3 linked regions of the Stegostoma tigrinum genome follow. The protein of the gene in region 3 interacts with the protein of the main gene of each other region in a pairwise test. Links are inferred from orthologs where the notes say so. Each region holds a gene or a part of one and is shown on either strand. Other genes may lie near its edges.

What was found.
Region 1: the proteins of cinp (region 3) and cluap1 interact in binary tests that used the Homo sapiens proteins (3 or more experiments, as listed by UniProt). The two-hybrid records come from large-scale screens. The link is inferred for Stegostoma tigrinum from reciprocal best matches to the Homo sapiens genes CINP and CLUAP1.
Region 2: the proteins of cinp (region 3) and atrip interact in binary tests that used the Homo sapiens proteins (3 or more experiments, as listed by UniProt). The link is inferred for Stegostoma tigrinum from reciprocal best matches to the Homo sapiens genes CINP and ATRIP.

The regions. Positions count from the first base shown.
Region 1 is NC_081376.1:31,625,041-31,635,392, reverse strand, and holds the start of cluap1 (clusterin-associated protein 1 homolog), read right to left. Parts: upstream 6,400-10,352; 5' UTR 6,031-6,399; coding exon 6,009-6,030; intron 5,428-6,008; coding exon 5,316-5,427; intron 4,446-5,315; coding exon 4,361-4,445; intron 4,242-4,360; coding exon 4,062-4,241; intron 3,469-4,061; coding exon 3,373-3,468; intron 1-3,372. UniProt on the Homo sapiens protein: Required for cilia biogenesis. Appears to function within the multiple intraflagellar transport complex B (IFT-B). Key regulator of hedgehog signaling.
Region 2 is NC_081364.1:20,426,224-20,436,575, forward strand, and holds the start of atrip (ATR-interacting protein), read right to left. Parts: upstream 5,156-10,352; 5' UTR 5,060-5,155; intron 3,336-5,059; 5' UTR 3,225-3,335; coding exon 3,212-3,224; intron 2,301-3,211; coding exon 1,848-2,300; intron 1-1,847. UniProt on the Homo sapiens protein: Required for checkpoint signaling after DNA damage. Required for ATR expression, possibly by stabilizing the protein.
Region 3 is NC_081363.1:38,564,577-38,574,928, forward strand, and holds the start of cinp (cyclin-dependent kinase 2-interacting protein), read right to left. Parts: upstream 7,277-10,352; 5' UTR 7,131-7,276; coding exon 7,124-7,130; intron 2,255-7,123; coding exon 2,080-2,254; intron 1-2,079. UniProt on the Homo sapiens protein: Component of the DNA replication complex, which interacts with two kinases, CDK2 and CDC7, thereby providing a functional and physical link between CDK2 and CDC7 during firing of the origins of replication.

The sequences.
Region 1 (10,352 bases), on a different chromosome or scaffold from region 3:
ATGCAATAGACTATATTCTGGGAAGTGCAGGTGAAGTGTTGCTTCACCTGGAAGGTATGTTTGGACTCTTGGATACTCGGGAGGGAGGAGATAAATGGACAGGTGCTGCATCTTCACCAGTTACAGGGGAAGGTGCCATAGGGCTCTGGGGAAGTGTTGGGGGTGAAGAAAGTGTAGACCAGGGTCTCCCGGAGGGAAAGGTCCCTGCGGAAGGCGGACAAGGGAGGGGAGGGGAGGGGAATAGGTGTCTGCTGGTGACTTCTTGCTGGGGGTGGCGGAAATGGCGTCTGATGATCTTCTGGATGTAGATACTGGTAGGATGGTAGGTGAGGATAAGGGGAACCCCATCGCTATTGAGGGAGGGAAGAGAAGGGGTGAGGGCAGAAAAGCGGGAGATGAGTTGGACTTGGTTGAAAGCCCTGTCAACAATGGAGGTGGGGTATCCTCGGTTGAGAAAGAAAGTGGACATGTCAGCGGCTTCCTTGTCGAAGTTGATCTCATCTGAATATATGCGATGGAGACAGAGGAACTGAGAGAACAGGATGGAGCCTTTACAGGAAGCAGGGTGTGAGATGTATAGCCCAGATAGCTATGGGAGTCAGTGGGTTTGTAGTGGATATTAGTGCCAATCTATCCCTAGAAGTGGAAACAGAAATATCAAGGAAGGGAATGGAGGAGTCAGAGGTAGACCAGGTGAGCATGATGGCAGGGTAGAAATTGGAGGCGAAATTGATGAAGTTTCCAATTCCAGACAAGGGAGGGAAACAGTACTGATGATATCATCGATGTATCGGAAAAAGAATTGTGGGTGGGGGACAGAGCAGGACAGGAACAATGCTGCTTGGCCTGCTGTGTTCATCTAGCTTCACACTTTGTTATCTTGAAACAATGGGTCTGCCCAGACAGTCCTGTTTGTGGATTTTAACAAGTTTCCACGTACCCCATGAAGAGACAGGCATAACTAGGAACCATACTGGTGCCCATGGCAACCCCTCTTACCTGAAGAAATGACAGGAATTGAAAGAGATGTTGTTGAGGGGGAAGACAAGCTCAGCCAAGTGGAGGAGGGTGGTGGGTGGGTGGAGATGGTTCAGGTCTTTGCTCCAGGAAGAAGCGGAGAGCCCCAAGACCCTCCTGGTGGGGAAGGGACATGTAAAGGGATTGCACGTCCATGGTAAAGAGGAGGTAGTTGGAACCGGTAAACTGGAAGTTTCGAAACCCACATAAGGCGTCAGAGGAAACAAGGATATACGTAGGCAGGGATTGGACCAGGTGAAGAAGACTGAGTCAAGGCAGAAAGAGATGAGTTCTGTGAGGCACGAGCAGGTTGAAACAATGGATCTGAGATGATGGGAACTGCAGAAGCCGGAGAATCCAAGATAACAAAGTGTGAAGCTGGATGAACACAGCAGGCCAAGCAGCATTTTAGGAGCACAAAAGCTGACGTTTCGGGCCTCTCTGATGAAGGGTCCAGGCCCGAAATGTCAGCTTTTGTGCTCCTGAGATGCTGCTTGACCTGCTGTGTTGATCCGGCTTCACACTTTGTTATCTTGAAACAATGGATCTGCTCGGACAGTCCTGTTTGTGGATTTTAACACACTTTAACACACCACCCTGCTCCCTGGCCAACATCTCTGTCTCTGGCTTGCTGCAGTGTTCCAGCGAAGCCCAATGCAAGCTGGAGGAACAACGTCTCATTTTCCACTTGAGGACCCTAAAGCCTGCCAGACTCAATATTGAGTTCAACAAATTTAGGGCCTAAACTCTCCCATGTCCCAGCCCCCTATCCCACACACCAAGCCTTGTTACCACATAGCCTGCCATTACACACACCCTGTTAGTCACTAACAGTGCCCATTAACAACTATTCACCCTCCCAGCCTGATCGTTAGCAACTCGTTTGTCTGCCCAACTGTCTTTCTTTCCTCTTGGGCTATATCCTATCATTTACTTCCAACCCAACCCACGTCCCCATTTTCTGCACATAAACTAACTTTTTCCCAGTCAACATCAGTTCTGAGGAATGGTCACCAGGCCTGAAACATTAACTCTGTTTTTACCTTCACAGATGCTGCCAGACCTGCTGAGCTTTTCCAGCAACTTTGTTTTTGTTCCTGATTTACAGCATCTGCAGTTCTTTCGGTTTTTAAATGATCGTGGGAACTGGAACATTTAGAATATTAAACCACCAGCCTCACATAGACCCCAAATAAGCAGTGTGTTTCGGATCTGGGTGAAGCCACTTCACAGAACTATGCAAATTTAGGGAAGTTAAATGCTTCAGGTGCCAAACAAAAGGCTACTTGAGGCATAAGTTCAAGCATACTTGCTAGAGGAGGAAGATACAGAATAAAAACCATACTACAAAAACATGAACAAAGCCTGCCTAACAAATCAAACAATACAATGTCTGTGTACCATTCGGTGATCGTACAGAGATGACATGGACAGTTATGTCTGACAAGCGTAAAAGCAAGAAAAGTGGCCTTGATCATAACTGAGTTATTGGTAAACAGAAAGGCAGTACAGATGGAAGTGAAGACTGAGGGCTCTGCCACTGTCATGGGAGAGCAAGTCTTCAGGAGGATTGAAGACCATTGGAACCATGCTGACAATATACAAGTTTTGTAGGGTCAAAAAAGCAGACAATAATATATTTTTTAAAAATTCAATATTTCACTACACAACGTACAATTACAAAGGGAGGTAAAAATCCAGCCCCTGTTACTGTGTCAGCCAGCTCATAGCTTTTAGCAAAGCTATCATCTTCAGTTCTCAACTGCTGCTGGTTGTGTCAAACTCATATGTTGGAAATTTTGTCCCACTAACATGTACCTCAGCTCCATTTAAAGTAACTAAGTAGCAGCAAAACATTTTAAGGGAAGTCAGGCAACTGGTTTACAGAGAAATGATTATGTCAAAAAGCTGATTTAAGTAAATAGTGGGAGGAGGCTCCTGACAAGCATAAATTTCAGAATTAGGCCAGTCATTTGATACCCTTTGCCTCACTGTAATTTCTATGTAATTCTCTGAAGTGAGCCAGTAAGCACCTAAAATGTTAACTGTGTTTCCCTCTCCAGAGATAGTGCGTAGCTTGCTGAGGGTTCCAATTTTTATGTTTTATTTTGATTTTCAGAATCCACAGCATTTTGTTATGGTTTTGAATTGTCAGTTCACCAGTGACTTGATATTCAAAAGTTCAGAAGCAAGTCCTCCCTATGATGGTCATACAAACTGCAGCAAGTTTTTTGACATTGTTGAACTAGTGTCACAAATTTACACTGAACACAGTAAAACCATTTATCTTTTATTTGGGGATATTGTTATCTTCCAGTTGTCAGATGCTAGTTGATCAGAAACCTGCTGACTCACCCTCAGGTCTACTTCTTTTCCCAACAAATCAAATACAGTTGCTCCTTTGGAGGTAATCTCAGAAGCTAGTTGTCTGGCAGTTTTCAAATCTGATATCTGGAATAGGTGAGAAGATGGAAAATATAAGCTACAAAACATCTCTCTGCAAATATTATTAAGGGCAGTTTACATCATGAAGACAGACTCTATGTTAGCACCAAAATTTGTGCACTGTCAGGGTTTATTTATATATTTTGTACAGTCCAGGAGCAAATCATTGGGTTGTAACAGGTGTATAACACATATTTACCACATGGTCAGGATTAAAACATCTCACTGCTGTAGGCCAAAATGAAAGTTTCACTTAAGTTCCCTGTATGGTTGAGTGTTGAACTGCTAACTTGACCTTGCGGCAACACTTTGATGGAACAGTAAAGCTAGATTGTTAAACATACTCTCAGTCAAAATACAGTGCAAATTCAAAAAGGCAAAGCTCCTGTGGAGCAGAATTTCACTGGAAAGGGTAATGAGTCATAGGTGGGGCTAGAAAACAATAGCCCTGGTCCTGAGGGATGGTTTAGTGAGAATTGATTTCGGTGGCAGAGGGGCATTGCTGAATTTGCCCTTATGTTCTCTTGTATTGTACTGCTCAAACAACAAACATCTGTGCTAATCTTGTCCTGAATGAGGAATTAAGTTGCATTACTCACCTTCGACCCCAAGTCAAATTTGAATTTTGAACTATCTTCTTCTGTATCCTCACTTGTGTCCATTCGCTTTGTTTTCATAGCATTATAGAGAACAGTAGTAATCTTCAGCAACTCTTTCACCGCATATCCATCAGCCTGGTATAACTTCTTAGTATTGAGCTTAATGTGAGCTTTAGTAGCCTGCAATACAAAGTAAATATATTCACAAAACATACTGCAGGTTTCTGGAGTTCATCCCAGATTCATGCTGTCCTACAGTTTTCACACACCAGGCTGAGGAAGAGCTATTTGCTGCTTACCATGAATTGTGCTACAGCTTTGATGAAGAAAACTCGGTCCTGTTCTGTATCTACATCTGTTGGGATATCTGTCTGGGGTTCGTATCTGATAAAACAAGTTCCAAGTAAGGTAAGTTACTTTCCAGTGTACTATTTTCACAACCCCCCTCCCTTTTAAAGGAAATTAGAACTTTTAAGGTTATCCCCAAAACACAGTTAAAATGGAAGGTGATGGTATAGTCTGTCAACTGTAACAAATGTAGTGCAGCAGAATCCAAACCTCATACTTTCCAGCAAGAACAAACTGCTTATTTTAAATCTCAACAGACCAAAGATCGGAATTACCTGCACTCCCTTTTTTCTATATCGTACTCCCAAGACGTAATGAACAAGTGCACATCAGCTGAAGGATGAGTGTTACAGTAACAGACTTGTGCCATAAGGTCTGCTACGATTTCTCATTTATTATGTCTTAAACAGTCTTATCATAAAAGTAAAGATTTAGTGCAAAATTTTCAATCTAAACACTCCATTTATACAAGCAAAATCACTGGGAATATTCTAGATGACTCCCTCTCTGCAATGGCCTACTATACCAACCACAGAAATACATTAATGCATTGATGTGATTTTGCAGCTGCACGTGGTTTTTCATCTCACAGTTGCATTGGCCTCAAATGCAGTCACTTTAATATGTATTCATGTTTTTATGCAGACAAATGCTGTAGCCAATTTGCACATAGCAAGGTCCTAAGATGATCAAACTAGATGAATATCCAGATATTTCAGAAGATGTTGATGCTGTTTGAGAGAAAAATGATGAATTTTCCAAACAGACAGTGCTGCTACAAAACTATACAGCCTTGGTTAGTGGTACAGATACCAAAGTAAATTCAATACCAAAACTTTCATAATTCATTCCATAGATATTGAATAACTAAGGTTATTATAAAAGTGCACTTTTAAGATCACAAACCTTTTAACGAGCCAAATGAGAATCTCTGATACCAAAGGAAAATTCGGAATCCGAAAGTTTTCCATAGAGATCAAACGGGGATACCCCAGAGCCCTCATCATCTCAGTGAAGTCTGAAATACAATAGGTCATCAGTGTTTATACATACATTAGTTAATTAGCAGCTTGGAGGTGCTAATTTCTGGAACTTTCCCATTATTGCACTTCTCAGAAGGATACTCTATTCTTGTAGTATCAAATTACATCTGTACACTGATTATAGAGGCTTTCTTCTTAAATAATGTATTAAGGATTAATATTGACAAGTCTGAGAAAGTACTAATAATTGATGCATCCATACAATATGGAACTAATGGCAAATTATTGTGCTCCTCAGCCTGCTTTTACAAAACAGAGGATGGTGTAAGGAATAATCTTGCAGATAATGCAAATTAAATCTTATTCTCATTATAAATGACAAAATTCATTCCTGGGTAAATAGTGTAAGAGAAACTATGTAATCTAAGATCATTTTTGTCTCCGTAGCTCTGTCTATCCTAAAATTTAAAAAGTTGGAGGCTGTTTCTGAATATAAATAATATACAAAGATGATGATCCTCCAGGGTTAAATAGCAGACCTACTGAACCCGAATATTTGTAAAACCAACGCTACTTCTACCCACAGCCTAAATTCAGACATGAAAATTATCCTTACTCCTCAGGTCTCTGAATGACATGATGCTGATGGAATCTATAGTCTAGATGGGGCCCTATCTTCCTCGGTCATGAAACACAACAAAATACTATATTTCCACTGTATCCAATACCGCCTAGCTTTGGTCCCGTTCACGGGCCTTCCCCGATTCCCAAACGCCGAGCATTGCCCGGTGACTGAACGCGGAATCAATCCACGTTTGCCCCTGCCACACCCCGTCCCTACTCTTCCCCAGACTGTTCCTGTCGGCTCGATTTTTTTTCTAACTTCTCTACTGAGTACTGGAGATGTGTAGCTTCAGATTTCTTTCTTTGTCGTTAGGCCCCGTTTCCATAGAGATCCCCGCCCGCTTTCTGCGCGACAGGCATTCTGGGAGCCACGGCCCCGGCGTCGTGCGTGAGACATCACCTGACGTCACGATCGATATGATGTCCAGGTAAAACGCGGTTGTGTCAACGGCGTTTCAGTTAGATCATGGCTGATTTATCTTCACTTCTTCAGTGTCAATCGTTTGTTCCATGTGGTGTGTATATTGTCTAAAATATTTATATATTGATATATAGGTCACATGAATATGATGCATCATAAGCTGCAAAATATTTTCGTCCAAACAATCCAATCTTTCATTTTTAAAAAATTGCATGCACAATAAGACTGTAAGAAAGGAAAACATGAGTAGATCTTTTGCAAGTTATGAACGTAATCCATAAAGAAAATTGTCATGCGCGGGGGGGAAATCTTTGTCCTTCTAGTCAACTCCAATTTTGCCTGTCCTGTACCTGTACTGGACATAAATCTTTAAATCATTCATGTATTTTAATTGTTGTTTTTGGCCATTTGTGTGGTGTCGGCAGTTATAGGCGTGTCATTACTTTTCTAGGGAACATTGCTACAATGGCAGCTGTGATAATTGGTGCTGTAAATTCATTGCATTTTTGGGAATTGAGGGTCTTATGGCACAGTGGTAGTGTATACCTTTGGGTCCTCTAGGGGCTGATTTAAGGTCCTATCTGATATAGAGGCATGATATGTACGAACACTTTGTGTACATTTTGTTTTGGAGAAATGTTGACCCCTGGAACTGATGGTGTTTCAGTACCTTGTTCAATTGACAAATCAAATCTCCTTCATCAGTTATTTCTGGTTGTATCTTTCCATATGTAGTTGCAATGATAGATCTGGGGGTCATTGGCTTTCACAATGTAAAGTTATGATGACTTGTGTCTCAAGTCTTCAAATTGCCAAGGTTAATGACTTATGTTGAATGTATTGAATTGTTTGTACTCTGATGATTTTCTAACATTGGCACTGATTTGTCACCTTTATCAAAGCGGAATTTAGCTATCTGTCATTATACTTTGATCTTATCATGCACTGTTGCTGCTGCTAGCTTCAGTCATGCTGCTGTAAGGAGCACGCAGCATGACGTTAGTTGCTGATCTGGACCATGTTCTCTGCTTCAGAGGGTTTATTTCTCCCTCTAAGAATACCCCTTGTACACATTTATGCTGAATCCAATATATTTTTTGATGATCCTTTGACAATTTTAACTTCTGCCTTAGCTGTTCCATTTTGATTGGGTGTAATGTGGAGAGGATATGTAGTGCTGAATTTTCCAAGCAATTATTAAATGTCTTAACTCATGGATTGAGGCTTGTTATTGCTTATCATATTAGGAATGCCAAGGCAATTGAAATGCTCTTTCAGGCATTCCAAAGTCTCACTGGTAGTTATTAACATCAGCTGATCTAATTCTCAGCAGTCCGAACTTCCAGAACCAGGCATCACTGTCTAAAGATATGCAGTGGGCCATTTAGGACTGAGCTGAGGAAAATTTCTTCCCTCAGAAAGTTGTGAAACTGTGGCATTCTGCGTGCCAGAATGCAGTTCATGCCAAAACATTGAATGTTTTCAAGAGGGATTCAGATATATGTCTTAGGTCTAAAAAAAATCAATGGCTATGGGAAGAAAGCAGGGACACAGCATTGAGTTGTATGGTCAGCTATGATCATATTGAATGGTGAAGAAGGCCTAAAGGCTGAATGGCACATTACTGTTCCTATCTTCTGTTTCTACGTAATAGTAATTAGTTTTAACAAGGTAATCTATTCCAGTGAGGGTAAAGAGGCCTATTCAGAGCTTCATCCATAGCCTGGGACTTAACATATAAGAAACCTACACTTTTTAAACATTCTACAGAGTATATTGTGGGACAAGTGGAAAATTAAGAAGCACCAACAGAGGTCTTGGGATGGGTGGTAAATACAGCATAGTCTATCTCAAAAGGAAAAGTAAATACAATTTTGTTTTAAATTCCTCCACTTGTGAACAGAAGAGGACAAATGTAAAATAATTAAATGAACCTCTCTCCCTATCTGTAACAGTTTTTATCTATCGAAATTCAAGAATTTTGCTTAGTACCCATCGTATAGAATTAAAGTTCATCTTCATTTCCACATTATTGGACATCAATTTGGTTTGCTCTTGCTCTGCATCATGGAGCCTAAACATTGCCTTTTACAACTTAATTTCCAGGTTATCGTCTTGGGAAAGTTCACAAAAGTCTGCGAAGTTTGTGATTTGCACAAGAACAGTTTAATTTGATTCGCTTCATGTGCTTCCGGAATCATCATTTCAACACTCAGATTTTTTTCGCCTTGGGACAATACAGTACTAACTTTTTTCTAGGATGTGGAGTATTTTGTCAGAATCAACAGCTGATAATTCTCCAGCAACTATCTTTTATCAGTTTAATTTTCTTTTTTCTCACAAAATCCTTGTATGTAAAGTGATTCAGCTTGCTGCAATTACAGTCTGCTTTCCCTGTGCTAAACATACTTTCTTTTCTTTCTTGTGTTGTCCTCCTTGTATTTAAATCCAGTACTGAAAACTGGATTTTTATGTTGTCCTTTCCTCAAATCATCCTTCCTTTCAGTTGTCGTGTGCTTGGAAGATTGGGATTGTCTCTCAACATAATACATAATTTCATCAGTTGTCCTATCAATACACTTCAATTGATGATTAAACACTTCAGAGATTCTACACATCAACAGTTTCCTTAATAATAGGTTTCTCTTCTCTCAGCAGACATACACTCAAAGCAGAATCACTTCTTTCTAGGACTATCTTATCTCTGATGCAATCATCGTTCAGTTGCCCTGACTCATAAGATTCAACTAGACATTTCATTGCCGTCAGTATTCTTCTTGCCTTCCTGGTCTCTAGTGTTAAACACATAGCATTTATAAATAACATGAGCAGAGTATTTAAATTGGGTCTTCAAAACCTTAAAAACTGTAAGTTTGGTTTGGTTCTTTGCTGAGATCTAGAGTGCCAAGCTTTCTCTCATACTGATAACAGAGTTGCTACTCTGGACTTTTACAGGTTTCTTGCTCAACTCTGTGGCAATTGCATAATTCTGCTTCTAAGACTGGAAGAATTTGCAACTCAGTCTCAAATTTAATTTCATTTCTTCAGGAGTAAGTGCTGGAATATTCATAGTTGTTATGACTTACACAGTTGCCAATTTCCGGTATAAGGGTTCAGAATTAAGCCATTTCTGAAGAAGGGTCTAAGCCCGAAACGTCAGTTTTCCTGCTGCTTGGCCTGCTGTGTTCATTCAGCTCTACACCTTGTTATCTCAGAATTAAGTCACGGTTGTTTTTTGCAGCTATTTGCTCTCAGTTGTGAAAATATGCTGAATCCAAGTTGTACACTTCTGACCTCCTGTTCCATGTGAAGTATAAATTAGCTACTGCCCTAAAGCTTTATTTACATCCGTGATATTTCATGATGTGAGAGATCAAGTGTATGGTAAGCCACAGTGTACAAAGGTCTTTATTCAAACATACTCCTTGTATCCCTTAGTACCCAACAATCTATCAACTCTTGTGAATATATTCAACGACTGAGAAACCCCAACTTCCTAGGATAGAGGATTCTAAAGATTCACAATCACTGGTCCTAAATGGATAACCTCTTATTCTGAGACAGAGGGAACATCAGCATTTACACTGGCAAGCCCTTAAAGCTTTTACATCTTTCAGTTATATCATGTCGTTTTTAAAATTCCATGGAAGATAGGTCTAGTTTATTCAGTTTCTGAATACCAAATCCCCTCACATTAGGAATCAGCCTCGCAATATTCACCAAAGGCAAGTACATTCAGTGTGATATTGCCGTGATCATAGCAAATAAAATGCTCTTTTGTGATGTCATATCCTCCCTACCCAGCAACCAGGCAATGGTGGCCAAAAGCTTTTCAGCTAACTTTATTCTTCTCCTGAACATGTCACAGTTATTCAATCATACATGTGTCAACTGTTTAATTTATTGTCCCCAATT
Region 2 (10,352 bases), on a different chromosome or scaffold from region 3:
TCTGACTCTCCCTTTTATGAAAACCACAAGAAGTACTGCCTTTATCTAACTTTATGCAAAAATAAAGTGGCCTTAATTATCAAGAAGTTGTTGTATGTAATCCTAATAATATGGGTGAAATCTCTGAAACCCATTTAGTTAAAGCTGAGTGTGACTTATTTGATCACCATTAAACAGCAGCCCCACCATCAACATTCAACTCTACTTCAACATAGTATGCCAACAGCATTGTAATGGCAATTGAATTTCCTGTCCAACATTAAGGTCTGGGTGAGTTGAAAATTGTTCATTATATCTTAAGCCCATTATTATCTACCACTGGTTGAAAATCCATGACTCCACCTGGTGCTGCACACAATCTCAAGCATAAAATAGTCTCCCTTCAACATTCAAATTCATCTTGTCTTCTTTGATCTTGTGTCCCAAACTTCCACTCACTGCTGCTGAGACACGTTTCAACAAATGGATCACTTCATTCACGATTTGATTTCAGAAATCAGAGCTAGTTCTCAAAGTTGTCCACCATTTACTTCATCCAACTGCGACAGGATTTATCCTCTATTCTACAGATTCTGAATTTTGGTTTCAACTCGCTCAACAATCTCAAAGGCCAATAAATCCTATAGTTCTGGAACACTTATCAAATCACTGTGCTTAGTTATGTCTCTCCCCACTTTCAAACACTTTTTCTTGAAATAAGATTCTAGTTTCCAGCCTGCATGGTCTTTGACATATTTAAGACCATACGAGACTAAAGCAAAACCAGGTCAGTCAGCCCAATGAGTCTGCTCTGCCATTCAGCAAGACCACGGCTGATCTACTAATCTTAAACTCCACGTTCTTGCCTTTTCCTGCTAACCTTAGATTGGCCTACTGATTAAAAATTTATACACTTAATGACTCAGCCACAACAACCCTTTGTGGAATGAATTCCACTGATGTACAATCCTCATAAATATGTGATCCCTTATTCAGAGATTATGTCCCCAATCCCAGACTCTCCCATAAAGGAAACATCCTTTCCACATCTATCCTGTCTTCTGTGCATCTACTATAACTCAACAAGGTGGCTTCTCATTTTTCAGTATTCCAAAGAATACAGGCCTGATCAATTCAAACTCTCCTCATAAGACAGTCCTTCCCTATCTGGAATCAGCTTAGTGAACTTTCTCTTGACCGCCTCCAATGCCAGTATATCTTTACTTAGACAAGGAACCCAATCTGTTCAGCTGTGGTCTGACGAGTGCCTTGTAATGCCTGCTTCTTCTCTTTATGAAGTCCACCAAAATACTTTTTTCTGAGGCGCACAACACAAATAAGTTATTGTTGCATCTAATTTAACTGTATACAGGTGTATCAAAGTTGTACCAATTTAAAAGTTATAACATGTTAGTTACTTCATGAGTCAACAAGAACAAATCTATGGAGACTTTAGCCAGGGTACGATGGCCAAAAATGTTCCACATTCAATCCTAATCACTAATAAGCAACCTTAGTTTGAATACCTACTGGGTCATAAAAGTTAGCCTCAGCACCACTTTGTCAATGCAGCAAATGTCATGAACTGGGAAATGCGTGCATGTGAATGCTGCCTAGTGAGCAGATCAATTTCAGCTGTGGTACTAAATGCCTCTCGTAAATCACCCCCTTCTGTCAAAGTGTTTGCCACAACAATTTGAGAATGTGTACATGTGAATCATGCCCACTTGGAACTGGTGCTCATGTCATTGTAATATGGCAAAAGAATGGAGAAAACTAACTACATAATCGTTTTAAAACTTTACAATTTACCACATCAGCTTTGAGTATAATATTGAAAGTCCTGAAATTAAAAACCTGCACATTACCAGGAAGTTCCTTTACTGCATTTGCATTTCTTAATGATCCAGCTGCTAAAGTAGCAACTTTTATACTTGCGTCATTTGTTAGTCCTAATGGTCCTCTGTTATTAGCATTGTTCACTGATGCTTTCATAGCATTGGACACATTGGTCACATTCTGACTTAGAACTTGTGAGGCTAGAATATCAAGTTCCTCCAAATCATCTGCAGTGAAATCTTCATTATCTCCAAAAGGATCCTCATTTGTTCTAGTGTCCTGTTCTGCTTTGTGGCGTTTGTTTGGTGGAAATCCTTCAATGTCACTGTTTATGGTCTTCTTTCCTCGGTTGGAAAGTCCTGCAAAGTTTGAAATTGGAATTTCTGATGGCATGCTTTCAAGACTATAAATAATAGAGCTGTTTCGTTTCTTTGCCGAGTTTGTAAAGAGGGTGTTTGATGACATGGCTCCAGCATTTGACCCTGCAGGGCAGAACAGCCAACAGATAAATCATTTACAAACAATATCCACACTTAAATTAACATTTGCTTTATCAAAAGGCAGATCGCAGAAAGCTGACATCCGCACAAAGAAGACTTTCTTAATCCAAAATTGAAGACTTTCATGGCAGATATTCACCAAAGTCAGAAAAAAGTCTTCTAATACATGACCAATTATAGAATAAAAGGGCTGCAAAAGATAATCTGATCACAGCCTAAAACAAATATGCCACTTGCATCTCAATATATAAAGAATTCACCACTTCCAATTACCAAAGACAGTCTATTCCACACATTCACCACTACTGTGAATGTCCATTTGTACAGCATCATTACCATAGTAAAAGGTTTAAAAAATGCCTCATAAAGGCTTTTAATTAAACACAGTCACAATGGAGACAATAAAACAAGTGAACAAAACAGATTTTAACGAGTATCTCAAAAGATGAGAGGAAAGAGTACAAAAGCAGAGAGGTGAAGGAGAGAATTCCAGAACTTAAGAGCTTTAGCAGCTGAAGGCACAATCAACAGTGGGACAATTAAAATTCAGATTGCACGAGAGGCCAGAGTCAGAAGAGGACAGAGATATTCTGGATGGTAGAACCGGATGAGGTTACAAAGATAGGGATGAGCAAAGCCCAAATATATAAATGATGTCAGAGATAATGGGATGATGTGCCCTTTGAGGCTAACATGCAAGTTTGAGTTTAACTTGCTTGTAAAGGCTGTTGGAACTTCAAACAGATCAGGGCTTAAAATATTCAACTGTCTACAGTACTTGTATACCTGCAAATATCATTCCCTTCAAATATCTTTGAACTACAACTATGGCATATCATTTCTCAAGCAGCAAGCAGTCAATAAAACAGAATGCACTTCAACATTATGCTTACTTGAAACATTCATGCTTCACCTGAATCAACAATCCAGTGCTGATTTAAAACTCTGTTGCACAGGTTCAATTAGTTTGCACTTGGCAACTTCTTGATCTGCTAACCAAAGGCAGAACCCATTTTCCTGCAGAGATGAAAGACAAAAATTTTCAGACATTCTCAGAACTGGTTAGAAGAGTACTGGTAAAAACCTGTAAACAATTCACCTGCACATTCTTTCAACTGATGTGTGGTACTTAGGAGAAAAGACGGGGGAAACAGAGATCTTTGCAACACTCAAGTGAGCTCATTTACACAGATTGGTAGAAGATCTACCACGGTGCTGAATTCATTGATGTCTAGAATACAGCAACTAGGATGCCACAGTTGGCCTGTGTTCTTGGAAGTGTTGCAGTAAATAATTTTGATGAAAGTTAAATTAGTGCTAAAAGCTCAATTATGACCTAGATTTTAATTTAAAACAAAATACACGTCACAAATATGTTTAAATGAACTTTGACAGCGAGCAGTTCATATCAATAGGGGTTTGCCCATGACATATCCAAGCAAAGTTGTACCCCAAAAATCCTGCTAAAAATAAGAGTCATAAAGGCATACAGCATGGAAACAGTCCATTCGGCCCATTTCATCCATGCTAACCCAGGTTTCCCAACTGAACCAGTTCCATTTGCCTGTATTTGGCCTATATCCCACTAAATCTTCCCTATCCGTGTACTTGTCCAGATGTCTTTTGAACACTGCAATTGTACTCACCTCTACCACTTCCCCTGGTGGTTTGTGCATGTGAAAATGTTATCCCTTTGGTGCCTTTTAATGCTTTCCCCTTTCACTTGAAACATATGCCCTCTAGTTCTGAGTTGCCCTACCCGAGGGAAAAGACTCAGCTATTCACTTTATGTATGCACCTGATGATTTTATAAACATATATAACGGTCACCCCTAAGCCTACTATGCTCCAGGGAAAGAAGTCCCAGCCTCTCCTTATGACAAACAATGGAAGGTCCATTCTGAAGGCCATACTGCATTAATCACTCTTCTTACTTTAGTTGTAAATCATCATATACGGACCTTAGCAACATTAATTTCAGAAAAACATTGGTATCAATTACCCTTCAAATCACTTGCAAAATACAAATTATTTACCTAGATTATTTGAGAATTTAATACATGCTTGTGAACATGCTTCTAAATAATGTTGCAAAAGCCAGAGACGTTTAATATTGTTAAAAGACAGACCAAAATTTCTTCTGATCAGGCATGAATTCTTAACATTCAGCTCACTCAATAATGTGAATGTACGTAATCTGAAACATAGACATATCTTGATTTGATTTATCAAATCAACGTATGTTCTACAAGCCTGGCGATGCATGCAAATAACAGAATTAAGGTTGATGTGTTTTGATCAGAACTGGAACATGGTACCAACTTTACTTTTTCAATTTCATCCAATGCACCTGTTGTGGCATGATGGTGATGTCCCTCCCTCTGAGCCAAGAGACCTGGGTTCGTCCCACTTGCTCCAGAGGTATATAATAATGTCTCTGAACGGGCCGTTTAGAATATCTGAAACCTCTAAATGCTATGTTTATAACGGATCCAGTTCTGATGAAAAGTCAGGGAACTGAAAGTTAACTCCGTTTCTCTTTTCAGATAATACTACTAACGCGCTGATTATTTCCTGCATTCTCAATTTATAAAAGTCAGGCAACTGTCTTCTCCCCAAACAGATTTTACTCTTTATGTATGACTGAACGGCTTCAAGCTTCGCAACTTTTCCTGACGAACAAGTGAATCTATCAGAATAGTAATTAAAAATCCGCAAGACTCTCCAATTCTGAAACTCACATCTCTTCAAACAGCAGGTACCGGCCCCTAGCGGCCATATTGTCCACCTGGAACCGCGTGCCGCCAACTAGGACCAATCAACTCACCGCTTCTTCCTGTACACATCCTCCCATCCAGATTTCCGATTGGAGGTCCCTACCACTACGGTATCGTCAAGGTTCAAAATGTATTTTGATAATGCGTTTCGAATCACAGAACACATTCAAGTGTCATAATATTTACTCCCTCAAAAACAAACATTCTTCAGAGACCTCCTGCACTGCCACAATGATGCCACCCGAAGGTTGCAGGAACAGCAACTCATATTCCGCCTGGGAACCCTGCAGCCTAATGGTATCAATGTGGACTTCACCAGTTTCAAAATCTCCCCTTCCCCAACTGCATCCCTAAACCAGCCCAGTTCGTCCCCTCCCCCCACTGCACCACACAACCAGCCCAGCTCTCCCCCCCCCACTGCATCCCAAAACCAGTCCAACCTGTCTCTGCCTCCCTAACCGGTTCTTCCTCTCACCCATCCCTTCCTCCCACCCCAAGCCGCACCCCCAGCTACCTACTAACCTCATCCCACCTCCTTGACCTGTCCGTCTTCCCTGGACTGACCTATCCCCTCCCTACCTCCCCACCTATACTCTCTCCACCTATCTTCTTTACTGTCCATCTTCGGTCCGCCTCCCCCTCTCTCCCTATTTATTCCAGTTCCCTCCCCCCATCCCCCTCTCTGATGAAGGGTCTAGGCCCGAAACGTCAGCTTTTGTGCTCCTGAGATGCTGCTTGGCCTGCTGTGTTCATCCAGCCTCACATTTTATATTCTTCAGAGACTATTGTTTACGTTTCAAAGTTATACTGTGGTTCTGAATTAGATATCAGCAGTGGATTACTCTGGGATATAACAAGGTGTGGAGCTGGATGAACACAGCAGGCCAAGCAGCATCAGAGGAGCAGGAAAACTGACGTTTCGGGTCCACAGGCCCATTTCTGAAGGAGGGTCCCGACCCAAAATTGTCCCGCTCCTCAGATGCTGCCTGGCCTGCTGTGTTCCTCCAGCTCCACAGTGTTATCTCTGACCCCAGTATCTGCAGTTCTTGCTATCCCTGGGAATACGCTGATGCTCCAAAGCCGGTTTTCTTCCCGCTGCCTAGACTCCAAGGGAAGACCTCGTTGTTTGTATTTGAAGACTCACCCCAGGGCAGCAAAGAGATTCCACCCTGATCTAGCAAACAGGCTGCCGGCAGCTGAGGAATCAATTAAAATAGAGTAAGATCATTAGAAGCAGGAGCAGAACTAGACCATTCGATGCACTGAGTCTGCTGCATTCCCCATTTCTAAGCTCACGGTTGTCAGACTGTGGCCCGAAATTCATTTGCCTTCCCGACCATCTATCACACTTGAGTCCCTTATCAATCAAAAACCTGTTTAACTCAAATTTGAATATATTCCATATCTCCACTGTTGTCTTTGGATTTCCAAAGATTCACAATCATCTAAAAGAATTAAGAAATTCCTCATCTACGTCTCAACTGGAATACCTTTTTTTTAACCCCCCCCCCGCCGAGGTATTCTGAGTAGAAATGTTCTCCTACTATCCACCCTCTCAAAACTGTTATTATCAGTCCGATTACATCTTAGCTTTCTAAATGTTTACAGTACTCCGAGGAATATCGACACAGCCAGCTTAACCTTTGTTGTATAGGGGTCTGTAAGCATTAATACTGAGGTATTACATGAGCACCACCCATTAGCGAGAGGATAAAAGGTTTAAATAAACAAAGTTACTACGGTTCTATCTCGAGGTGTACAAGATGGGTGAGGCCAGAATGTGTCATTCGTATGTTTTACTGATTTTTCCATCTGAGTATGATAACATGGATTCGTGGACACAACAGTTTCGGATCTCAAAGGAGTAGGACTTGTATCTGGCCCTCCTCAAAGTCTCTGTGTACTGTATCAATGCAAAGTAACCAGTTGAAAACATACAATAAATGATTTCTTGTCAACTAAAAAAAATTCTTCTAGTTAGAATAAGAAGAGTTCTTCTTTGCCACTCTACACCAAACAGACCCAGTAACTGCCTACATTTAAAGAGGATGTTGGCGGCAACCTTCATGGTGAGGAGTGGTTCATGCAGTGTAATGAACTGGCATGTTCATACAAAACTTTCCTCATCAGACAATTACTTCATTCTAGGAATCAGCCTGAGGAACTTGAATTAATTCCAATGAAAATATGTATCTTGTATTAAAATTAGAATTAAGTATATTGTCACATACTCAAAGTACAGAGATATATGAGCACAGCTAAAAGTGTACAAAATCACCATTTCTGGCACTGTCTAATGTACAAAGATACCAAGGTACAAAATCTTAAGTCTAAGTTAGAAAAGTGAAAGCATAAAGTTAAAAGATCAGCATTGCAGTCCTTATAAAGCTAAGTACAAAGATACCTAGGTACAAAATATTAGTTATAGATCAGAAAAATAAAGAAATAAAGGTAAAAGTCTTTCTGGAGCAGGGAATCCATGCTGGATTTAGAACATAGAACATAGAACATAGAACAGTACAGCACAGAACAGGCCCTTCAGCCCACAATGTTGTGCCGACCATTGATCCTCATGTATGCACCCTCAAATTTCTGTGACCATATACATGTCCAGCAGTCTCTTAAATGACCCCAATGACCTTGCTTCCACAACTGCTGCTGGCAACGCATTCCATGCTCTCACAACTCTCTGCGTAAAGAACCTGCCTCTGACATCCCCTCTATACTTTCCACCAACCAGCTTAAAACTATGACCCCTCGTGCTAGCCATTTCTGCCCTGGGAAATAGTCTCTGGCTATCAACTCTATCTATGCCTCTCATTATCTTGTATACCTCAATTAGGTCGCCTCTCCTCCTCCTTTTCTCCAATGAAAAGAGACCGAGCTCAGTCAACCTCTCTTCATAAGATAAGCCCTCCAGTCCAGGCAGCATCCTGGTAAACCTCCTCTGAACCCTCTCCAAAGCATCCACATCTTTCCTATAATAGGTCGACCAGAACTGGGCGCAGTATTCCAAGTGCGGTCTAACCAAAGTTTTATAGAGCTGCAACAAGATCTCACGACTCTTAAACTCAATCCCCCTGTTAATGAAAGCCAAAACACCATATGCTTTCTTAACAACCCTGTCCACTTGGGTGGCCATTTTAAGGGATCTATGTATCTGCACACCAAGATCCCTCTGTTCCTCCACGCTGCCAAGAATCCTATCCTTAATCCTGTACTCAGCTTTCAAATTCGACCTTCCAAAATGCATCACCTCGCATTTATCCAGGTTGAACTCCATCTGCCACCTCTCAGCCCATCTCTGCATCCTGTCAATGTCCCGCTGCAGCCTACAACAGCCCTCTACACTGTCAACGACACCTCCGACCTTTGTGTCGTCTGCAAACTTGCTGACCCATCCTTCAATCCCCTCATCCAAGTCATTAATAAAAATTACAAACAGTAGAGGCCCAAGGACAGAGCCCTGTGGAACACCACTAACCACTGACTTCCAGGCAGAATATTTTCCTTCTACTACCACTCGCTGTCTTCTGTTGGCCAGCCAATTCTGTATCCAAGCAGCTAAGTTCCCCTGTATCCCATTCCTCCTGACCTTCTGAATGAGCCTACCATGGGGAACCTTATCAAATGCCTTGAGGCCAGGAGTCCATGATGAGTTTTCCCAAGAAGACCAGGAGTCCATGCCAGGATTAACAGGATTAAAGAGATCAAAACTGCATTCCAGGTGCAGAATGTATCAAAGCCCTGTATAGTTGTAGTAAGATTTACATACTTTTATACTCCATCACTTTTCAAAAAGACATTTAATTTTTATTTCTAAAAATCCACTGGGATGTTTCCAGAATGTGGGGAATTTTGGAAAATTCCAACCAGTTCATCCAGTATCCTAGAGACTTAAAGTCTCTAGGATGTGGGCAATCAATTGAGGGTCTTGTCAGCTTCTAATCTCCTGAGTTTTTGAAGTATTTTGTCTTACATAATCAGGTGAGGTGATAGCATGGTGATACCATGGCTAGACTGGTAATCTCGAACCTAAAGGCTAATGCTGCAGGAATATGAGTTCATATCCCACTGTGGCAGTTGGTGAAATTTGAATGGAGCTTTGAAAAAATCTGGATTTGTAAAAGTGAGCCCAATAGTGACCGTGCAGCCACTGTTGATTGTCCTAAAATGTCACCTGGTTCACTATGCTGTTTGGTAATAGGAAGCTGCTAACTTTATCTGGCCTGGCTACATTTGATTTCAGATCTAAAGAAATATAGTTAACTCTTAAATGCCTTCTGAATTGGACTTGAGAATCAATCAGATAATGGGCAAAAAATGGTGGCCTTGCCAATGAGACCCACATTCCATGTAAAGATCAACAAAGTGTGATTGTTTTAAGCCCCTGTCTCCCATTTTGCCTGCAGATTATCTACTATTCTTTGGATGCTAACAGAGTCTTCCACTACAGAATCCCTGTTCAAAGTTTCTGTCATTTCCTTGTTTTACATAGAAGATAGGAGCAGGGTTAGGCCCTTTGACTCCTCAAACCTGCTTTGCTTTTCAATAGGGTCATGGCAGATCACTGAATTCATTACCCTAATCCTGCCTTGTCCCCATATCCCTTGATCCCTTTATCCACAACAGCTATGTTTTAACCTTAACCATTTTCTGTGGTAGTAATTTTCACCACTCTGGGTGAGGAAATTTATCCTCATCTCAATCCTAAAAGGTTTACCCCTTATCTTATGACCCCTGGTTCTGGATTCCCCCATCGCTGGGAATAACCTTCCTGCATCCAACCTGTCTGGTCTGTTAGAATTTTACAGGGTTCTATGATATTCTTCCTGATACTTCCAAACTGCGGTGAATACAATCCTAACTGACTGAATCTCTTCTCATATGTCAGTCTTGCCATCCCAGGAATCATCTTGGTAAACCTTCACTGTGCATCCTCTATAGCCAGAACATCCTTTTCCAGATAAGGAACCCAAAACTGCACACAATATTCCAAGTGTGTCCTCAGCAATATCCAGTATAATTGTACCCAAGACATTCCTGTTCCTGTACTCAAATCTTCTCACCATGAAGGCTTGTCTTCTTTCATGCCAGCTGTCCCCACTCACTTACTTTCAGCAAATGGTGCATGAGGACACCAAGGTCTCATTGAACATTGCCTTTTCCGAATTTACTTCTGTTCAAATAATCTTTTTTCCTATTCTACATTCAAATTGGCCTTCCTATTTTCCACTATTAATTCCACAGTCTCAGA
Region 3 (10,352 bases):
CGCACCGGGTACAGTGGATGCAGTATACCACATTGGCAGATGTGCAGGTGAACCTCTGCTTAATGTGGAATGTCATCTTGGGGCCATCCCCTCCCCTGTCTGCTTTCCGGAGAGACCACTCTCTCCGTGACTCCCTTGTTCGCTCCACACTGCCCTCCAACCCCACCACACCCGGCACCTTCCCCTGCAACCGCAGGAAATGCTACACTTGTCACCCGCATGGGCCCCAGCTATGCCTGCCTCTTTGTAGGTTACGTGGAACAGTCCCTCTTCCTACAGGAAGACCCCTACACAGGCCCCAAACCCCACCTCTTCCTCCGGTACATTGATGACTGTATCGGCGCCGCCTCTTGCTCCCCAGAGGAGCTCGAACAGTTCATCCACTTCACCAACACCTTCCACCCCAACCTTCAGTTCACCTGGGCCATCTCCAGCACATCCCTCACCTTGCTGGACCTCTCAGTGTCCATCTCAGGCAACCAGCTTGTAACTGATGTCCATTTCAAGCCCACCGACTCCCACAGCTACCTAGAATACACCTCCTCCCACCCACCCTCCTGCAAAAATTCCATCCCCTATTCCCAATTCCTCTGCCTCCGCCGCATCTGCTCCCACGATAAGACATTCCACTCCCGCACATCCCAGATGTCCAAGTTCTTTAAGGACCGCAACTTTCCCCCCACGGTGATCGAGAACGCCCTTGACCGCGTCTCCCGCATTTCCCGCGACACATCCCTCACACCCCGCCCCCGCCACAACCGCCCCAAGAGGATCCCCCTCGTTCTCACACACCACCCTACCAACCTCCGGATACAACGCATTATCCTCTGACACTTCCGCCATTTACAATCCGACCCCACCACCCAAGACATTTTTCCATCCCCTCCCCTGTCTGCTTTCCGGAGAGACCACTCTCTCCGTGACTCCCTTGTTCGCTCCACACTGCCCTCCAACCCCACCACACCCGGCACCTTCCCCTGCAACCGCAGGAAATGCTACACTTGTCCCCACACCTCCTCCCTCACCCCCATCCCAGGCCCCAAGATGACATTCCACATTAAGCAGAGGTTCACCTGCACATCTGCCAATGTGGTATACTGCATCCACTGTACCCGGTGCGGCTTCCTCTACATTGGGGAAACCAAGCGGAGGCTTGGGGACCGCTTTGCAGAACACCTCCGCTCAGTTCGCAACAAACAACTGCACCTCCCAGTCGCAAACCATTTCCACTCCCCCTCCCATTCTCTTGATGACATGTCCATCATGGGCCTCCTGCACTGCCACAATGATGCCACCCGAAGGTTGCAGGAACAGCAACTCATATTCCGCCTGGGAACCCTGCAGCCATATGGTATCAATGTGGACTTCACCAGTTTCAAAATCTCCCCTTCCCCTACTGCATCCCTAAACCAGCCCAGTTCATCCCCTCCCCCCACTGCACCACACAACCAGCCCAGCTCTTCCCCCCAACCCACTGCATCCCAAAACCAGTCCAACCTGTCTCTGCCTCCCTAACCGGTTCTTCCTCTCACCCATCCCTTCCTCCCACCCCAAGCCGCACCCCCAGCTACCTACTAACCTCATCCCACCTCCTTGACCTGTCCGTCTTCCCTGGACTGACCTATCCCCTCCCTACCTCCCCACCTACACTCTCTCCACCTATCTTCTTTACTCTCCATCTTCGGTCCACCTCCCCCTCTCTCCCTATTTATTCCAGTTCCCTCCCCCCATCCCCCTCTCTGATGAAGGGTCTAGGCCCGAAACGTCAGCTTTTGTGCTCCTGAGATGCTGCTTGGCCTGCTGTGTTCATCCAGCCTCACATTTTATTATCTTGGAATCTCCAGCATCTGCAGTTCCCATTATCTCTGATACTGAAATTATTATTGTGTTATTTCTTGTTTCGAAAAGACTGTAGCAGTGTAATAATGATCCCTTTAAAAGCACAACAGCTTGAACAGAAGCATTAGAGTGAAAGCTGAGATAAGTTAGTTTGAATCAATTTACCACTGAGGGCACGTTTTAAAATTAAATTTTTTCACTAACATTTCAACATGTGAAACTTTACTCTGCAAGGCTTACCTGGTGTTGATTATAATGTTAACAATTTTATTTGCTACTGAGAATCCTGCATCATTAAGTGTTTCCCATTTCAGCATGGAGTTATGCCAGTCTGCAGCAGTATCCTTTATTTTTCTGACACTGTTGTTCAAGTCTTGTCTTCTTGGAGTTACAAAGCCTGAGCTTGGACATGGAGCTAGTAAACAAAAAAATGTATTAAGTTTCAGCTATTTAAGAAAAAATCTAATGCTTAACTACAGGTATTAACTTGCATTTATAAGAGGGTCTTTTAATGTCCCAAGGCACTTCAAGTGTATTAGAGATAGTCCTGCATCTAGTGTGCGCAAAACAGACTAAGCATACGATTGTTTCAAAGATAGTAGGAACTGCAGAGGGTTTCTGAAGAACGGTCTAGGCCAGAAATGTCAGCTTTCCTGCTCTTCTGATGCTGCTTGGCCTGCTGTGTTCATCCAGCTCTACACCTTGTTATCTAAGCAATACGATTGTGTCCTGTTTGCACAACTGGGACATGTAGCCGGCTTGTTACCAGAGGCTTTTACTCGAGGGATAGCACCCCAGAAGCAGCATAGCTGTGCAGGAAACCAGTACATTCATATGAAACATGTTTTGAGTGGGGATTGAACCCAGGCCTCAGAGGTACAGACACTACCACAGCAGCACAAAAGCCCCTCTGGGACATGTTTTTTTACAGATGATGATATTTCTAATCAGCCTGCTCAGACTCGAACCCAGACCACCCACCTCAGAGGTAGGGATATTACCACCAGACAACAACAGTCCCTTGGAAATCTTTTGTTTTAAGTGAAACAAAGCTCAGGCATATGGGACTAGTTTCGTTAGCAATAATGTTGATGGGGGTTTGTTTCCATGCTGCACAGCTATGACCTGGACCATAATCAATGGACACCACATGCTGGTCTGCTATTAGGTGTTTTCTAATCAGCCTCTTCAGGAAGTGTATGAAGATGTCAACAAGAAAAAAGGAAGCGTTAAGGTAAAGGATACTGAAGTCTTAAAAGAGCGGGTGCACTTGAGTCTAGAAAGTGCAAGGGGGTCATTTAAATAGGAAATTAGGAGAGCAAAAAACCAGTGGTGGATAAAACTAAGAAAAATCTAAAGATGTATAGTGGGGCACAAGAATAAACAGACAAAGAGTAGTACCATGTGTGTATAGCCCAAAGAGAGACAGACATAGCTGAATACTAAATATGTATTTTGCATTTGCATTCACAATAAAGGAGGACGATGAAGGTCCAGAAATTGAGGTGGGGGTGGAACTGTGATTTACTTACAGTCAGGGTTAAACAGCACTGTAACAGACCCTTTGGTCATCCATGCTGACCAGATATCCTTTATAAATCTAGTCCCATTTGCCAGCATTTGGGCCATATCCCTCTAAGCCTGCTTATTTAATCCAGATGCCTTTTAAATGTTGTAATTGTACCAGCCTCCACCACTTCCTCTGGCAGCTCATTCCAGACATGCACCACCTTGTGAAAGAGTTGTTCTTTTTAAATCTTTCCCCTGTCACCTTAAACCTATGCCCTTTAGTTTTGGCCTCCGCCCCACCCCCACCCAAGGGAAAAGACCTTTCCCATTTACCCCATCCATGACACTGCAGGGAAATAGCACTGGTCTGTCCAGCCTCTCCTATTGCTCAAACCCTCCAACCCTGACAACGTTCAGAACCCTTTCTAGTTTCACAACATCCTTCCTACGGCAGGGAGACCAGAAGTGCACACGATACTCCAAAAGTGGCTGAACCAAAGCCCCTGACCTCCCAACTCCTATACTCAATGTACTGACCAATAAAGGCAAGCATACCAAATACCTTCTTCACTTTCCTATCTACCTGCGATTTCACTTTCAAGGAACTATGAACCTGCACTCCAAGGTGTCTTTGTCCAGCAACACACCCCAGGACCATACTATTGCGTATATATCCTGCTCTGATCTGCCTTTCCAAAATGCAGCACCTCACATTTATCTAAATTAAACTCCATCTGCCAGCCCTCAGCCCATTGGCCCATCTGATCAAAATTCCATTGTACAGGAGGTAATTTTCTTCACTGCCCACTACAAATTCCATTTTGGTGTCATCTGCAAACTTACTAACTATCTCTCCTATAGTCACATCCAAATTATTTTTATATAAATGACAAAAATCAGTTCACCAGCACCAATCCTCGTGGTACACCACAGGTCACAGGCCTCCAGTCTGAAAACCAATCCTCCACCACCATCATCTCTTTCATCTGAGCGCCAATTCGGAACCAAATGGCTAGTTTTCCCTGTATTCCGTGTGATCTAAACTTGCTAACCTGTCTACCACGAGGAACCTTGTTGAACATCTTACTAAAGTCCAAATGGATCACATCCACTGCTCTGCCCTCTGAATTTTTTGAAGTAACACAATCAAGTTACTGAGACAATTTTCCATGCACCATGCACGCACTTGACCAAATTAGCATCGAGGGGGAAGATATTAGTGGCTTTAGCAGCTTTAAATGTAGAAAATTTCCTAGGCCCAGATGAGATGTATCCAAGACTGCTTAGGGAGGCACGGGAGCAGGGGCCATGAAAATTTTCAACTTCTTTCCGACCACAGAAAAGGTGCCGGAGCACAGCTAATCTTAATACCATTATTCATGAAGGGTGTAGGGATAAACCAGGAAACTATAGGCAGGAGAGGCTGACATCTGTGGTAGGGAAATGATAGGCAAAGAAAATTGAGACACAAAATTAAAGTCCCCTTGAATTAATCAAGGATAGTGGGCATAGCTTTGTAAGTGGGGAAATCATAACTAACAAACTTGATTAAATTTTTCCACAGACGTGACTTGTATGTGGATGGGGGTGATATAGTTGATGCAGCCAGAATAGACTTCACTAGAGCTTAAGACAAGTTCGAGCATGGGACACTCATTAAGAAGCTCAGATTCCATGGGATCCAGGGCAATTTGGCAAAGCACAGAGTGGTGATGAAAGGATGCACTGTGCTATGGCTGGAAGCCTGTGTCCAGTGGTTTACCACAGTACAATGACAACGAGGAAAGCCTTGGACTACAGGACAATATAGATAAATTGGAGTTTCATCCTAAAAAGTAAACAAGTTGATGCATTTTGGGTGCATTAACCAGCAAGAGAATACATATTGAATAATAAGAACTCGAGGAAGTCCAGAAGAATCTTGCTGAGTGTGTGCATAGATCCTTGAAGGCAGCAAGTAAGGAGGCATATGGGATACTTTCTTCGTCAAGGTATAGCAGCCAAGAGTAAGGAGGTTATGCTGGACCTGAATATAGTGTTAATTAGGTTACAGCTGGAGCAGTGAGCAGTGCTAGTTTCCACACTACAGGAAGGATTTGATTGTACATTTGAGCATGCAAAAGAGATTCACCAGGATATTGCCTGGGCTACAGCCATTTAGCTTTGCTGAAGGCGATGCATTTTGGAAGATCCAATTCAAGAGTGAACTATGTGGAAAATAGAAAAGCCCTGGGGAAAAGCGATGTACAGAGAGATCTGGGTGTTCAGGTCCATTGTACTCTGAAGGCTGCTATGCAGGTCGATAGAGTGGTCAAGAAGGCATACAGCATGCGTTCATTCATCGGACGGGGTATTGAGTAAAAGAGTTGCCAGGCCATGTTACAGTTGTATAGGACCTTGGTTCGACCACATTTGGAATACTATGTACAGTTCTAGTCACCACATTACCAAAAGAATGTGGATGCTTTGGAGTGGGTGCAGAGGAGGTTCACCAGGACGTTGCCTGGTACGTAGGGTGCTAACTATGAAGAGATGTTGAGTAGATTGGGATTATTTACATTAGAAAGGCAGAGGTTGAGGGGGTGACAAGACAGGGTGGAGAGCAAGAAGCTTCCCCCACCTCCCCAGAGTGGGGGAACTCAATTACTAGAGGTCACAATTTCAAGGTGAGGGGGGAAAAGTTTAAGGGAGATATAAATGGAAATTTCTTTACACAGAGGGTGGTGGGTCCCTGGAACACACTGGCAGCAGAGATGGCAGAGGCAGGCACAACAGCATCATTTAAGATGTATCTTGATAGATACACAAATGGGCAGGGAGCAGAAGGATACAAATGCTTAGAAAATAGGCAACAGGTGTAGATAGAGGATCTGGATCAGCACAGGCTTGGAGGGCCAAAGGGCCTGTTACTGTGCTGTAATTTTATTTGAAAGTCAGATTTGATTTCCTTAGAGCAAAGAAGGCTGAGGGGGAAAATCTGATTGAGTACTCCAAAATTCTCATGTGCATAGAGGGAAACATTTCCATAGTAGAGTTTTCACTAACTGGAGGGCGCAGTTTTCAAACTAAAGGTGCAGAAAGTTTATTGGGAATTTGAGGATACTGTTTTCTACCCCCCAACGCACCTGGAACCTACTGCCTGAAAAGGTGGTAAAAATGGGAAATCCGCAAGACATTTGAGAACTATTTAGATGAACACTCGAAACGTTTTAACACACTAGACTCCAGGCCAAGGGGTGAAAAATGCGACTAGGATACAGAGGCGCGTGATGGGTCGAAGGGCCTCTTTCCGTCCTGACCGACTCCAAAACACGTTATTGCGCATCTTGTTCAGTACGTTTTGGTCAATAAAAGATGGATTTTTTTTGGGGGGGGGCGTCGAGTTCAGAATTTACTCTTCCGATTTACCTTCGGCTTAAGAACAATAATTCCTTATGCACTGTACAATAATGTACAATTTTGTTCGTTAAGATTCCTATGATGCACGTTGGGGCCTCTTACTCCATTACAGCCACCTCTACAAATGTGTAACCGTAGGGCGTCTCACAAATTCTTAGCTTAGTAATATTCATTTTTATTTCCCATGAAGCCGCATCATTTTACACGTTTTCACGTGTTTTCCATCCTTGAAACGTCTGCTGCCGCTTTTCCCTAAAGGCTAAACTTTTGAGATTGCGATTAACGCAACACATTTTAAATCTTTCCAAATCAGCCTTAGAAAGTAATTCAGGGGAAAAAAAACCCTTAAATTTCACACGAAATAACTAAGCCATACCGTCCATGTCTACCACATTTGCGCTGAAGTCACTTCACAACTTGTCCGAAGTCACTACGTCAGGATCACGGACAAGCTACAAGTGAAACGTTTCGTTGATGAACCGTCTAGGGGACAGTAACAAACTGTACCCCGTGTATCAAAAGGGCCAGGATAGCTTTACCCTCATTGGTGAAGAAGATTGCATTCTGATTGGCGGAGCGGTAGCACCGCTGATTAGCGAAGACCCTGATTGGGCAGACTGCGTTCTCCGATTGGCGGAGCGGACAGTGTTCTCTGATTGGTGAAGTGGGCACGATATTTGTGTCGAAGTGGGGGGATAGCGCCATTATGATTGGTGGAGCGTGTTACCCGTTCTAATTGGACACCCTTGACCAGTGAAATGCTATCCTTACTCTGATTGGTGAAGCCGTCACACGGCACCAAAGGATGGAACGGACTGTTCATTCTGATTGGTGGAATGGCCTGTCCGTGCTGATTGGTGGAGCTACTCTCGGCTCTGACGCGGGGGGGGGGGAGGGAAAAGGCCTCGGGAGCAACATGGCGGTTGGGCAGAGAGAAATTGTATGAGACTCAGGGGATCTAACTTGGAGCGTGGTAAGTGATGGTGGGGATGGGTCTGACATACACGTGAGGAGTGTGGCCTTAAGTGGTCCATGGGGTGGTGGGTGGACCATTGTCGCAGGCCCGGCTGAGGAGAATAGATTCTCTGGCTCTGGTAGTAGTGATCTCCTGATGTGTTGACAAGGCTCTTGAGATCGAATAGGTTTACAATATTAAAAATGATTGTTCAGTCATTGTATTCTAGACAGTGGCGGAATGTTTCGTGTGAAACATTTAAAATTATTTCTATCCCCCTTCCAATGTTTAAACTATATTGAATGATACCTGTTAAACTTAAGTAAATTAGACATTTTTCCAGCACATACAACTATGCAACGTTCTGGAAGCAACTGATAACAAGGCAGTTTTTTTGGCAGCTAATAACATTTTTAACCTCATTGGCCTGACATATCCCAGGCTTCCAATATCACCAAGAAAGGGGATCAATCCTTGCTCAATGAACAAAACAGGAGGATTCCTAAAAATTAATTGTCACCTTCATGTGCCAAACAACGTAAGCAGCAAGTGACTTACAGAGCTAAATGATTCCATAACCAACAGATCAGATCTAAGCTCTGCAGTGCTGCCACATCCAGTTGTGAATGATAGTGTACAGTTAAACAAATCGCTGGAAGAGGAGACTCCACAAATATTCCCATCTTCAATGATGGGGGAGCCCAACACATTAGCGCAAAAGATAAGGCTGATGTATTTGCAACAGTCTTCAGCCAGAATTGCTGTGATTTATCCATTCCATCCTTTCACAGAGGTCCCCAGCATCGCAAATACCAGACTTCATCCAATTCAGTTCACTCCACATCATATCAAGAAATAGCTGAAGGCTCTGGGTTCTGTAAAGGCTGTAGGCCCTGACACCATTCCAGCAATAGTTCCAGCAGTTGCTGAAGATTTCTGTGTGGCCACAGCACTGGCATCTACCCAACAATGTAGAAAATTACCCGAATATGTTCTGTACACAAAAACAGGACAAATCCAACGTGGCCAATTACTTCCCCATCAGTCTACTGTTAATCATTAGTAAAGTCATATATCATCCCATATATCATCGATAGTTCTTGCAAGCAGCACTTGTTCCGCAATAACATGCTGAATGATCAGAGATAATGGGAACTGCAGATGCTGGAGAATCTGAGATAACAAAGTATGGAGCTGGATGAACATAGCATGCCAAGAAGCATCTTAGGAGCACAAAAGCTGACATTTCGGGCCTAGACCCTTCATCAGAAAACCCTTTTCTGATGAAGGGTCTAGGCCCGAAACATCAGCTTTTGTCCTCCGAAGGAGCTGCTTGGTCTGCTGTGTTCATCCAGCTCCACACTTTGTTATCTCACATGCTGAATGATGCCTTGTACGGGTTCCGCCAAGGCCACTCACCTCCTGATCTCATTACAGCCTTGGTTCAAACTTGAACAAAATAACTAAATTCCAGGCATTAGGCGAAAGTGACTGCCCTTGACATCAAGGCTGTGGCACTTCAGCCCGAGTGTGGCATCGAGGAGCTCTGCACAACTGGAATCAGTTTGATTCGGGAGTCGGAGTCATACCCAAGCAAAGGAGGATGGTTGTGGTTGTCGGACGTTAATCATCTCAGTTCCAGATATCTCTGCAAGGGTTACTCAAGATAATGCCCTTGGCCCAACCATTCTTATTAATGACCTTCCCCCCCCATCATAACATTAGAAATAGAAAGGTTTGCCAACACTTGCCTGATGTTCAGTACCATTCACAACTTCTCAGACACTGAAGCCATCCATGTCTAAATGCAGCAAGACTTGGCCAATATCCGGATTTGAACTGACAAGTGGCAAGACCACAGTATGATAAAATTGTGTATTATGTTTAAAAGTGAGGCACTTCAATCTGACGCAAGGATGTAAAATTTGAATTAGGAAGTAATGATGGCATGGAGTACATTGGGATTGGGAAAATACATTAACAGGCATGACTATACATATGCTGTAGATAGCTTTAAAAGAAATATTACGTGCCTTACATTAACTATACATTCCTTCAAAGTATAAAAACTTAAATCTGGCTAACAAGGAAATTAAGGATTGTGTAAGATTAAAAGATTTATAAATTTGCCACAAATAGTACTAAACGTAAGGGTGGGAGATTTTTAAGAGTATAGCAAGGAAGGACTCATAAGGAAAAGGAGAATAGAATATGAATGCAATCTTGTAAAAAACCATAAGTGGTCTGTAAAAGCTTCAGGTATGTAGAGAGGAAAGGTTTGGCTGAGGCGAATGTTAGTCTGTCAGGCACATATATAATGGGGAATGGAGAAATGGTTGAGAAGACAAATAATTACTTTATGTCTGCTTTCATCGAGAAAGGTGTAAGAAACTCCCAGCATTAGAAATGCAACTGACTCGGGACAATGAGGAGTTGAAGAAAATTGGTATTTGTAGTAAGGTTGTTCTGGAAAAATGAATAAGACTGAAAGTTGTTAAGTTCTCTTGACCTGATATTCTGTATCCCACAGGGCTGAAGGCAATGATTGATGATATAGAGAATATATTAGTGATCATCCTCCAGCTTTTGATAGATTCTGAAATGTTTCTGGCAGAATGTCACCCATTTTTTAAGAAGGCAGCGAGAGAGA